Linked DNA regions of Cricetulus griseus. The protein of the gene in region 1 interacts with the protein of each later gene in a biochemical or structural test. Links are inferred from orthologs where the notes say so. Each region holds a gene or a part of one and is shown in the gene's direction. Other genes may lie near its edges.

Region 1 (5,094 bases):
GGCTCAGCGGCTCTTCCCGAATGAAAGGTGGAAGTGCCACCAAGATTCTGCTGGAAACCCTGCTACTAGTGGCCCATAAGACTGTGGACCAGGGTGTTGTGGCCTCTCAAAGGTATGGAAGAAAAAGACAAGCTGGAGATCAGATTCACGAAGTGGTGACACAGGGGAGGAGATGGGAGATTCAGAGCGCAGAGGCTAGCTTCCAAGACTCACAGAGGCTAGAACCTGCCCTGCTATGACTTTCTTCCCTTACCGGAGTCTCTGGCCCAGCTTCTAGAGTGCTCAAGCCCAACCGCCCACCCTCTTCTTGGCTTTTTGTTTTCTCCCTGCAGCCCTTTGTAAAAGAGAATCTTTTCTGCTCTTATTAATGGGGATCTTTCTCCCTCCTCCTTCCTCCCATTTCCCTCCATCATGGACTAGCAAAACTTTTCTTTTAAATGGGAATTGTGACACCCCCTAAGTGTGGGTAGGGGAACCTAGGTCTTTTGGGGGTGAGGGACACCAGGCCCTCTTTGGGAGCTAGTGAATTTTCTTCCAGATGCCTTCTGGAAATCCTGAGGACATTTGAGCGTGCTCATCAGGTGACCTACAGTCAAAGTTCCAAAATTGCTACCCTGATGAAACAAGTCAGCACCAGGTATGTGGCTGTGTGTTTATAGAGGATGTCTTGAGAGCTGGGGATACTCTGTGAGATGTATTAACATGGCAAGAGTGATGGGTCCTCATGTTGGAAGGCCTTGGGTGTTTACTCTTGTGTTATTCTGTGGCCTCTTTTCATGGTGATTGTTTGTGTCCTGGCCTCTGACGACTCTTTCGCAGCCTGGAGAAGAAAGGCCGAGTATACTTGGTTGGCTGGCAGACCCTTGGCATCATTGCCATCATGGATGGAGTGGAGTGTATCCACACCTTTGGTGCTGGTAGGCCCTAGTCCTGGTGTTCTTTCAGAGTTCCAGCATCCCAGTCAGTTGGTCCACTACCAAAGCATTTTCTTGCAAACCCCTGAGGTTCTCCAGTGCCCATTCTGTCCTACATAAAGAGGCATTTCAGTCAAATGCTTTTTTTCATTTGAAGCACCAAATTCTACCTCGGTCCTTGATATCTCAGTTCCTACCCACCCCAGGGCTCTAACTATAGCTACTTACACAGATCACCATTCATCCTGCATCCCACTCTCTGACCCCGTGACAGCCCTTGAAGAAGAACCTTCCTATCTTATAAAGCCTGCCATTCTTTTCTCTCTCATCTTGAACTCCCCAGATTCCCAAGATGTCCGTGGCTTTCTCATTGGTGATCACAATGACATGTTTAACCAGAAGGCAGAGCTCACCAACCAGGTTGGAAAATGACAGGACTTGGGAAGTTGTAGAACTCATTGGTGTGCAGAGGGCAGTAGAGGAAGTATGAGGGGATAAAAAATCCCGAGAAGGAATGTAGGTCAGAGGTCATGGTGCCTCAAAGCTGTGGAGTATGGAAGGCTCTGGATTTATCCTCTAAAACTTGGCTTCAGTCCACTGACCTGCTACCTATACTACTACTTTGAACACTGATAGTTTTTTCAAGTGAAGTCAAAACGGCTGTATTAGATGTTGTCTATGGTCTCCTTCAGTCTTCTAGTCTGTGCTTTTAAGTGTCCTGCTCGGAGGAACTCTATCTTCTTTTGTCCCAGGGTCCCCAGTTCACCTTCTCCCAGGATGATTTCCTGACTTCCATCCTGCCATCCCTTGTGGAAATTGACACTGTGGTCTTTGTTTTCACCCTGGACGGTGAGAGGGAAAATGGAAATAGTGGGGTTAGAAGCAAAAGTGGAGGAGCTGCCATTTTGAGTCTCAGGGTGCCTTGTCAGAGGGAGGATGTCTTAGTTAGGGTTTCTATTGCTGTGATAAAACACCAAGAACAAAAGTGACTTGGCCAGGGAAGGGTTGGATTTGTTGTTGTTGCTTTAATCTTACAGTTTATAAGTCTATCACTGAGAGAAGTCAGGGCAGAAACTGGGAGGCAGGAGCTGATGCAAAGGCTATGAAGGAGTGCTGCTTGCTCCTCATGGCTTGCCCAGTCTGCTTTCTTATGGCATTCAGGATCCCCAGTCCAGGGGTAGCAGTGTTCATAGTGAGCTGAGCCCATCAATAATCAACCAAGGAAATGTGCCATTGGCTTGCCCATAGGTCAGTCTGGTGGGGGCATTTTCTCAATAGAAGTTCCTTTTTCCAGCTGGGTGTTGGTGGCACATGCCTTTAATCCCAGCACTGAGGAGGGGGGCAGAGGCAAGTAGATCTCTGTGAGTTGAAGGCCAGCCTGGTCTACAGAGCTAGTTCCAGGACAGCTTCCAAAGCAATATGGAGAAACCCTGTCTTGAAAAAAACAAAAACAAACAAAAAAAGGTTCATTTTCCCCAAACAATTCCAGCTTGGGTCAAGTTGGAATAAAACTACCTAACAGAGAGGGACAGACTGAGTGTCCTGGCAGGACCCCAGGGTGGCAGGAAGAACAGCTTCATAGCCTTGCCTTTTAACTCTGATGCTTCCTATCCCATCCAGATAACCTCACAGAGGTCCAGGCACTGGTGGAGCAGGTGAGAAAGAAGACCACAAGCATCCAAGCCCTTGTCCACAGCACTGTGGGGCAGTCCTTGCCAGTGAGTGTCCAGCACTGGGGAGAAGATCTGGGCATGGTTACAGCCAGACCTTCTGGACCCCCCCCACACACACTTATCTCTTTCTCCTCAGGCCCCTCTAAAGAGACTCTTTCCCTCCATCATCAGCATCACATGGCCGCTTCTGTTCTTTGAATATGAAGGGAGCTACGTCCAGGTAGGCCGGGATGAGAAGGCAGTGCCTGCAGGAGAGGAGCCCCCAAAACCCCAAGGCTAGATGGGAAAAAGCCTAAATATTTGTTTGTCTCCTTTCCTCCTCAAGCTGGGCAAATTCCCAAATTATCAGGTTTCTGAAGAGAGTTGCCAAGGCAACAGGGTTCAGTTCTTTCTAGGAATATACAGAAAGGGCGAGGCAGGCCACCAATCACCACACGCTCATTTGTTCTCTGGGACAGGTTGATTGTTGATACTGAAGTCATTATCAGCACCCTAAATCGTCTAAGGCACCTCCTTTGCATGGCACACCATGCTGAACACATTGCAGATATTACCCCTCGTGTGAGAGTGAAATTATAAATCCAGGAGACACACGGAGAGGAATCATAGAACAATGAGCAGTTTGCATGCACTTTTCAGTTTGGTTTGGAGCAGGCACCAGGAAATTCAGGTGCCGATCCAGTTCTGCTGTGAGTCCCAGGAAAGAAAACAAATTTCTATCTCTGGGCCTTATTTTTCTCACAGTCCATCTGCCCACCCTTCATGGGGCAGAACCAGGGCCGAGAAGGGGTGCTGGGGGAGGTGTGGACTTCCATCATTATTCAAATGACTTCCTTCTGGAAGCTTCCAGACTGGACCAGACAGAATCAGCATATAGCCTCACTGGACCCAGAGCTCTGGCTTCATAACTGTCTCTTCCTGGTGCGAAACCCAGCCCCCTTCTCTGTGTTTTGTTCTAAATGGCATTCCTGTGTCATAGCCTTACTTTCAGGCATGCTTCCCACATCACATTCTCTGACATCGCCTGTTTTTGAAGAAGTCTTCTCTGATTAACTTGATATTGTCTTGGCCCTCATGATGCTTAATAAAAATATATCCTAATGAATATTTCATATATATTATCCCAGTTCTCATTTCAACATCTCTCCAGCCCTTATTTCTGTTTTCTTTCTTCCTTTTTTTTTTTTTTTTTTGAGACAGGGTTCCTCTGTGTAGCACTAGCTATCCAGGAACTCGCTCTGTAGACCAGGCTGGCCTCCAACTCACAGAGATCCGCCTGCCTCTGCCTTCCGAGTGCTGGAATTAAAGATGTGCGCCACCACTGCTTGACTATTTCTGCTTTTAATGCGGTGCCATTTTATTCAAATTTTGTCTGTATCCAAATCTATTAGGTTTTCAATCTTTTACTTGATACTGGCTTCATCTTTCCATATGGAATTGTCTGAAAAAAAAAAAAAAAAGCTTTCTTTGGGACTTTTTCCTAGTTTGCTTTTTGCTGCTATGATAAAACACTGACCGAAAACAACTTGGAAAGGTTAAGACTCTTTGGTCTTATACTTTACAGCCTATCATTTCAGGGAGTTGGGGGCAGGAGCTCCAACTGGAAGCAAGAGCAGAGGTGGGACCATGGAGGAAAACCGCTTCCACTTATTCTCCATGGCTTGTTCAGTTTTCTTAAATTTTCCATTACATTTTACTCTTTGTGTATGTGTGAGTATGTATATGTGTGAGTGTGTGTATGTGTGAGTGTGTGTGAGTGTGTATGTGTGTGAGAATATGTGTGTATGTGTGTGAGTGTGTATATGTGTGAGAGTGTGTATATGTGAGTTACCATGTGGGTGTTGGGAATTAAACCTGGGACCTAAGAGCCAGTGCTCTTAAACAGTGAGCCATCTCTCCAGCTTGGTCTTCACTTTTTTTTTTTTTTTTTTTTTGAGACAGGGTTTCTCTGTGGCTTTGGAGCCTATCCTGGAACTAGCTCTTGTAGATCAGGCTGGTCTCGAACTCACAGAGATCCACCTACCTCTGCCTCCCAAGTGCTGGAATTAAAGGCGTGGGCCACCAACGCCCAGCTGGTCTTCACTTTTAATTTGAAACATTTTGCCCTACTCACCAGTCCTTTACTGAATTTACTTCATTCCTTTCTCTCCTCTAGTTCATCTGAAAGATAAGTGAAGCCATCTTACACTTCACACTTGCCAGGCAGAGTGGCACAACAATCCTAGCACTTGGTGGCAGAAGCAGAATCTGGAAGAGCTCAAGGTCATCCCCAGCTACATAAGGACTTTGAAGCCACCCCGAGTTACATGAAACCCTGTCTCAAAAAACAAATCTTCACACCAATCACATCAGAGTACAGCCACTTCCAGCAAGGGCATTTGCTGCTATAAGTACAATATAATTATCCACTCTGGGAATGAAAGTTAATCCCATACCATTACCTAAATCCAGATTTCCTGAGATATCCCTGGGGAAGTTGTTATTTTCCAGATCTAGAATCCAATCAA
Region 2 (5,094 bases), on another chromosome or scaffold:
ACATCCTGTGTTCATAAACAAAGAGGCACTGAACTCCCCTCTCCAGCTAAAATCAGGCTTCCCTTCACCTGTCATTGATGAATTGAGTCATATGCCCAAGCTCCAAGCAAAGGAGAATAGAATTATTATGGTCAGCTTAGTCTATCAGGGTTTACTGTTCTACCTAGTCCTCCTGAGCAAACTCTGGGTAACTGAAGAAAAAGATGCCCCTTCTACATACAGTCCAAATTCCTCCAACACACTGAGTTTATGTGCAAGACACAAAAGATGCTGAGTCCCACAAAAAATGGATCTGTACCTTTTATCAGAAGATCCCTCACTTTTCTTTTTGGTTCAAAGTTCAAGTGTCTTTGCAATGACTTCTCACTGCCCAGTGTTCTAGCTTAGGCATGAACAGCCTCATGCTGCTCACTGCCAGGGTCCATCCTGTGGAGGGTGAATCCCATGCCTTGGCCAGCCACATGCAGGACTGGAGTGTGGTTCTGAGCTTCTCATGCACAGGTCTCCCAAATTGATACTGAGAGTGTCCTCCCTCTGGGCTCAAAGTCTGCACACTGTGAATGGCCATGCTTTGCTAGCCAGACCCCTGCTTGGTATCAGGGGTCACACCAGCTACCTAGTCTTGGCTACCCTGTGCATACTGACCCATTCATTCCATAGAGTCCTACAGTGGGACCTTACACATGAAGTCTTTACACAGTAATGCCAGCTCCAGTCCTGCCTCACCAAAGTCCCATTTACACATTTTCCTCCCCTCATCCAAAATCTTAGGGGCAATGGGAGGCACTTCAAGGCATGGTGCTGCAAAATCCTGCTAAGAGCAAAGATTACCCAGTTCCCTGCTGTTCACTCCTCCAGAGTACCTAGGCTAATTGTTGAGGGGCTGGCCCTGAAATATTTGAAATAACCTATGGTAAATATTCTGAGGTGTGGACCATCCTGCATTCTGGAGTCAGAAGACAAAAAAAAAGAGACTCTTGGTGTGTGGAGGCTCCTGGTGACAGCCACAGCCGCTCCCATCCATCCCCTCCCTGTATAGGTAGAGCAGATCCTGGCAGAGTTCCAGCTGCGGGAAGAAGACCTGAAGAAGGTGATGAGGCGGATGCAGAAGGAGATGGACCGTGGCCTGAGGCTGGAGACCCACGAGGAGGCCAGTGTCAAGATGTTACCCACCTACGTGCGTTCCACCCCAGAAGGCTCAGGTACCACAGGGGTCATCTGTCCCTAGACAGGACTCCCTAGGTAAATGATGGCATCCCCAAGCCACTGGGTAGGTCTTTGCCCAGTTGCCTAAAGCCCTGGGGTGCTTGGGCCCAGCTATCAAACCTCAGGAGAGCTGGTTTCTTTCTTTCTTTTCTTTCTTTCTTTCTTTCTTTTTTTTTTTTTTTTTTTTGTCTCTAAGGTCACTTGGGGAACCTCCTCCTTATCCAGAGTCTAGTCTGTTTGTTACTCTAGGTCTCTATGTAGCTAACTGGGTTCTGGCTGCCTCTTCCTAAGGCAAGGGTTTCCCACTGATGTTCCTGAGTTTACCTTTGACCCTTCCACAGCTTGCTTCCCCTCATCCACAGTGTCTGGGGTCCCCATACCTATTCCACCTGTCAGGTAGGCAATGAGGTTGAACATATCTCCCTCTGCCTGCAGAAGTTGGAGACTTTCTCTCCTTGGACCTGGGAGGAACCAACTTCAGGGTGATGCTAGTGAAGGTGGGCGAGGGGGATGCAGGACAGTGGAGTGTGAAGACCAAGCAACAGATGTACTCCATCCCCCAGGATGCCATGACGGGCACTGCAGAGATGGTGAGCAGCTTCGGTGGGGGGAGGGCTGGAAAAGGGGGGCTAGGGGTCAAGGTCACCCAGGATCTCAAGAGAATTGGTCCTTGGGAGGGTTCCAAGAACAGGAGTGATGGTGAGCCACCCCGCCTCAGACAGAGACCCAAGTAGGTGGCTCAGAGGCTTAACCTGTCCCCAGTCCCAATTTCCAGTCCGCTCAGAACAAGAAGGGGCTGAAGAGGGGTCAGCAGCAGGAGAAAACCCAGCTTCTGTCCAGTTTCTTAGAGGAAAACCAAAGCTTAGGTCTGAACAGTCAGAAGTCATGCTGGCCCAGCCTTCTGCAGTTCCCAAAACGCAGCCTTCCTCACAGGCCACCACTAACCCATCAACGGGTATATGCCAGTGGTGTGGCAAGGGTTCCCTAAGCATGAGGAAGACACAAACAGGGAACCTAGAAATAGAGGGAGCCACAGGCTAAGCCAGAACCCCCAACCATGCCCAGGGACAAGGGAAAACCCATTACCAGAGGGGCATCCAGGCAAGAGGTTGCCCATAGCCACCCAGCCTTTCTTCAGCACACCTCAGCCTGGGGCTGGGCATGTTATGAGGCAGCTCCCTCATCCATCTACAAAGTGCTCAGCGGTGCCTCACCACATGAACCATTCCACTGGAAGGGATTGGGGCAGCCTTCAGCAGGGGTCAGGTGACCAGGATACAGCAAAAGAGACAGTAATCATAGTCATGGCCAAGAATGTGCTTCTACCTAGAGCTTCACAGGACATCCACCCAGGCTTGATGCCAGTCAGTCCTCACTGAGAAAGTGAGGAATGGGGGAGGGGGGCTCAGGGGTTCGACTAAACTGGGGATCAGCCTGTGTTGTATCACCTTGCTCTGGAGACTGCAGTCTGCAGGACTCTCCATCTGAGGAGGCGCAGGGCCTGAGTGCTGAGGAGAAACAAACTGCAGACAGGTCCAGCATACAGTTGCAGCCTCTGGGGTCAAATGTCTTAACACCTCCAAAGGACACTTCGGCACAGTCCCTGGGGAGAGCTGCTACTGTCCAAGCCCTGACCCTGACCCAATACCACTCTGGTGCAACTCCTAGCTCTTTGACTACATCTCCGAGTGCATCTCTGACTTCCTGGATAAGCATCAGATGAAGCACAAGAAACTACCCCTGGGCTTCACCTTCTCCTTCCCTGTAAGGCATGAAGACATAGACAAGGTGAGCCAGACAGAGGAAGGGGAGATGCATGGACAGAAAGACCCCTGAGGAGAATTCTGCTCAGATTGCCTTCAGTCGCAGCTCCCCAACCAAGGCTGTAACAGAGCCCAAGCTTGGAAGAGGTTTCAGTTGTGGCCCCTGTCACTTCCTATGTGTAAAGCTTTGGCAAACAGACATAACATCTGCTGATTCTTACCATGTGGCAAAGCCTCTCATGAGACATGCTATGATCACCCCTCTACAGATAGAGTAACAGGTTAAGCAAGTTGCTCTAAGTGGGAGGTGGTAACTGGCCCTAAGACTGGGGCCCCAGCTCACCACATAGCACAAAGACACCTCACTGCTTCTGACTGCGCCAGAAGTGGGAAGGGTCTGAGAATCTACCCTACTGGCAATCCCATAAGTTACATAACACACACACACACACACACACACACACACACACACACACACACACACAATCTCTGCTTTAGTTTCCTTTATAGTTGCTGTGATTAAGTACTTTGACAAAAGCAACTTAGGGGAGAAAGGTCTTAATTTAACTCCCAGGTTATCATAGCAGGGAAGTCACAGAGGCAGAAACACAGAGCAAAGAATTCATGCTTGCTGTGTTCAGCTTGCTTTTTCCATGCCTCTGTCTAGGGAATGGTGCCCCCCACTGGGGGGTAAGTCTTCCTGCCTCAATTAATATAATCAAGATAACTGTCCACAGGCCAACTTAATCTTCACCTAGACAAGCCCTTACTGAGACTTCCTCCCAGGTGACAAAACAAATCATTACAACCTGTGTCAGAGATGAAACCAGGGGCAAAGGCAGCAGCCAAACCCACACCTCCAGTAGTTTTCTAAGCCCAAAGCTCCACAGAGAAAGCTACATGTGATACCTTCTTGTGCAGTAGGATCCACTAAGGAGATAAACCCCAAAGTTACTCAGTTTTGTTCTCCCAGGGACCTTCCTGTCCTACGTAGCTCTACTCTAGAATCACAACCCTGAGTTTTGCTGTCCAACACAGCGGGAGGGTACAGCTTAGCAATGGAGCATTTACCCCAAATTCTCAAGGTCCTGGGTTTCTCTGAGTGTGTGTGTGTGTGAGTGTGTGTGTGTGTGTGAGTGTGTGTGTGTGTGTGTGTAGAAAATGGTTCCAAATACCTCTCAAAGCTGTGTGAGTCTACTTCCTCAAATGTGAAATGGGGGAGCCATGGACCTGCGGCCTGGTTGGTTTAAGGACACAGCAGCAGCCATGTTTTCCTACTTCTACAGGGCATCCTCCTCAACTGGACCAAGGGCTTCAAGGCCTCTGGGGCAGAAGGGAACAACATCGTGGGACTTCTCCGAGATGCAATCAAGAGGAGAGGGGTGAGGACACTTTTGCCTGCCCTGAGGAGCTATACTGGGCCCCTACTCCTTTGTCACAGGGCCTTCTCCTCAGCCGCATTCCCATAGTCTCCGTACTCTTGGCAGGACTTTGAGATGGATGTGGTGGCAATGGTGAATGACACAGTAGCCACGATGATCTCTTGCTACTATGAAGACCGCCAATGCGAGGTCGGCATGATTGTGGGTAAGGGCTTGTTCCCCTGCAATGCTTCCCACAGGGACTTAGCAGTCAATGCCAGAACACTAACAGCTAGTGCCAGTCAGGGGAGGTCTTGTCCCTGAGCAGGTGGCCTTGCGGATGTGGTGATTCGGGAACTGTATGTTGATGGGAAGTATTTCCATGTTTGCAGTGTCAGGGCATCAGGCGGCCTGTCAGCTGCACACCTGCCCTGCCTATCTGCATGTAATTAAACCACTTTATCTAGTAAATTGGCCGCACTGGACAAAATTGTTCAAGTGGAAGAGAATCAGCGGAAGTGGTGGCGTCATCATGCTGCTAGTCGGCCCTACCCACCTGGCCCTACCCCCCCCCCGGCCCAGCCCCCACCTGGCCCTACTCCACCCTGGCCCAGCCCCTGACAGGGGACCCAGCACTGAATCTCCAAACTGCCAGGCCCTAAACCCACTCTGAAGGGACAGAGATTCCAGAGAGACAAGCTGTAGCTTTCCCCCTCCTAACCAGGGGTGGGAGCTCCGACACCAACGACCCCCCCCCACGCCAC

The links. The genes of interacting proteins can lie anywhere in the genome.
Region 2: the proteins of Gckr (region 1) and Gck form a complex in vitro, tested with the Homo sapiens proteins (2 studies listed by BioGRID and IntAct, with this or other methods). The link is inferred for Cricetulus griseus from reciprocal best matches to the Homo sapiens genes GCKR and GCK.

What each region holds. Positions count from the first base shown.
Region 1 is NC_048600.1:13,075,661-13,080,754, reverse strand, and holds part of Gckr (glucokinase regulatory protein), read left to right. Parts: coding exon 1-112; intron 113-538; coding exon 539-637; intron 638-819; coding exon 820-917; intron 918-1,257; coding exon 1,258-1,334; intron 1,335-1,666; coding exon 1,667-1,763; intron 1,764-2,534; coding exon 2,535-2,632; intron 2,633-2,723; coding exon 2,724-2,807; intron 2,808-5,094. UniProt on the Homo sapiens protein: Regulates glucokinase (GCK) by forming an inactive complex with this enzyme. Acts by promoting GCK recruitment to the nucleus, possibly to provide a reserve of GCK that can be quickly released in the cytoplasm after a meal.
Region 2 is NW_023276807.1:98,926,993-98,932,086, forward strand, and holds part of Gck (hexokinase-4), read left to right. Parts: intron 1-1,039; coding exon 1,040-1,202; intron 1,203-1,641; coding exon 1,642-1,796; intron 1,797-2,874; coding exon 2,875-2,994; intron 2,995-4,255; coding exon 4,256-4,351; intron 4,352-4,456; coding exon 4,457-4,556; intron 4,557-5,094. UniProt on the Homo sapiens protein: Catalyzes the phosphorylation of hexose, such as D-glucose, D-fructose and D-mannose, to hexose 6-phosphate (D-glucose 6-phosphate, D-fructose 6-phosphate and D-mannose 6-phosphate, respectively).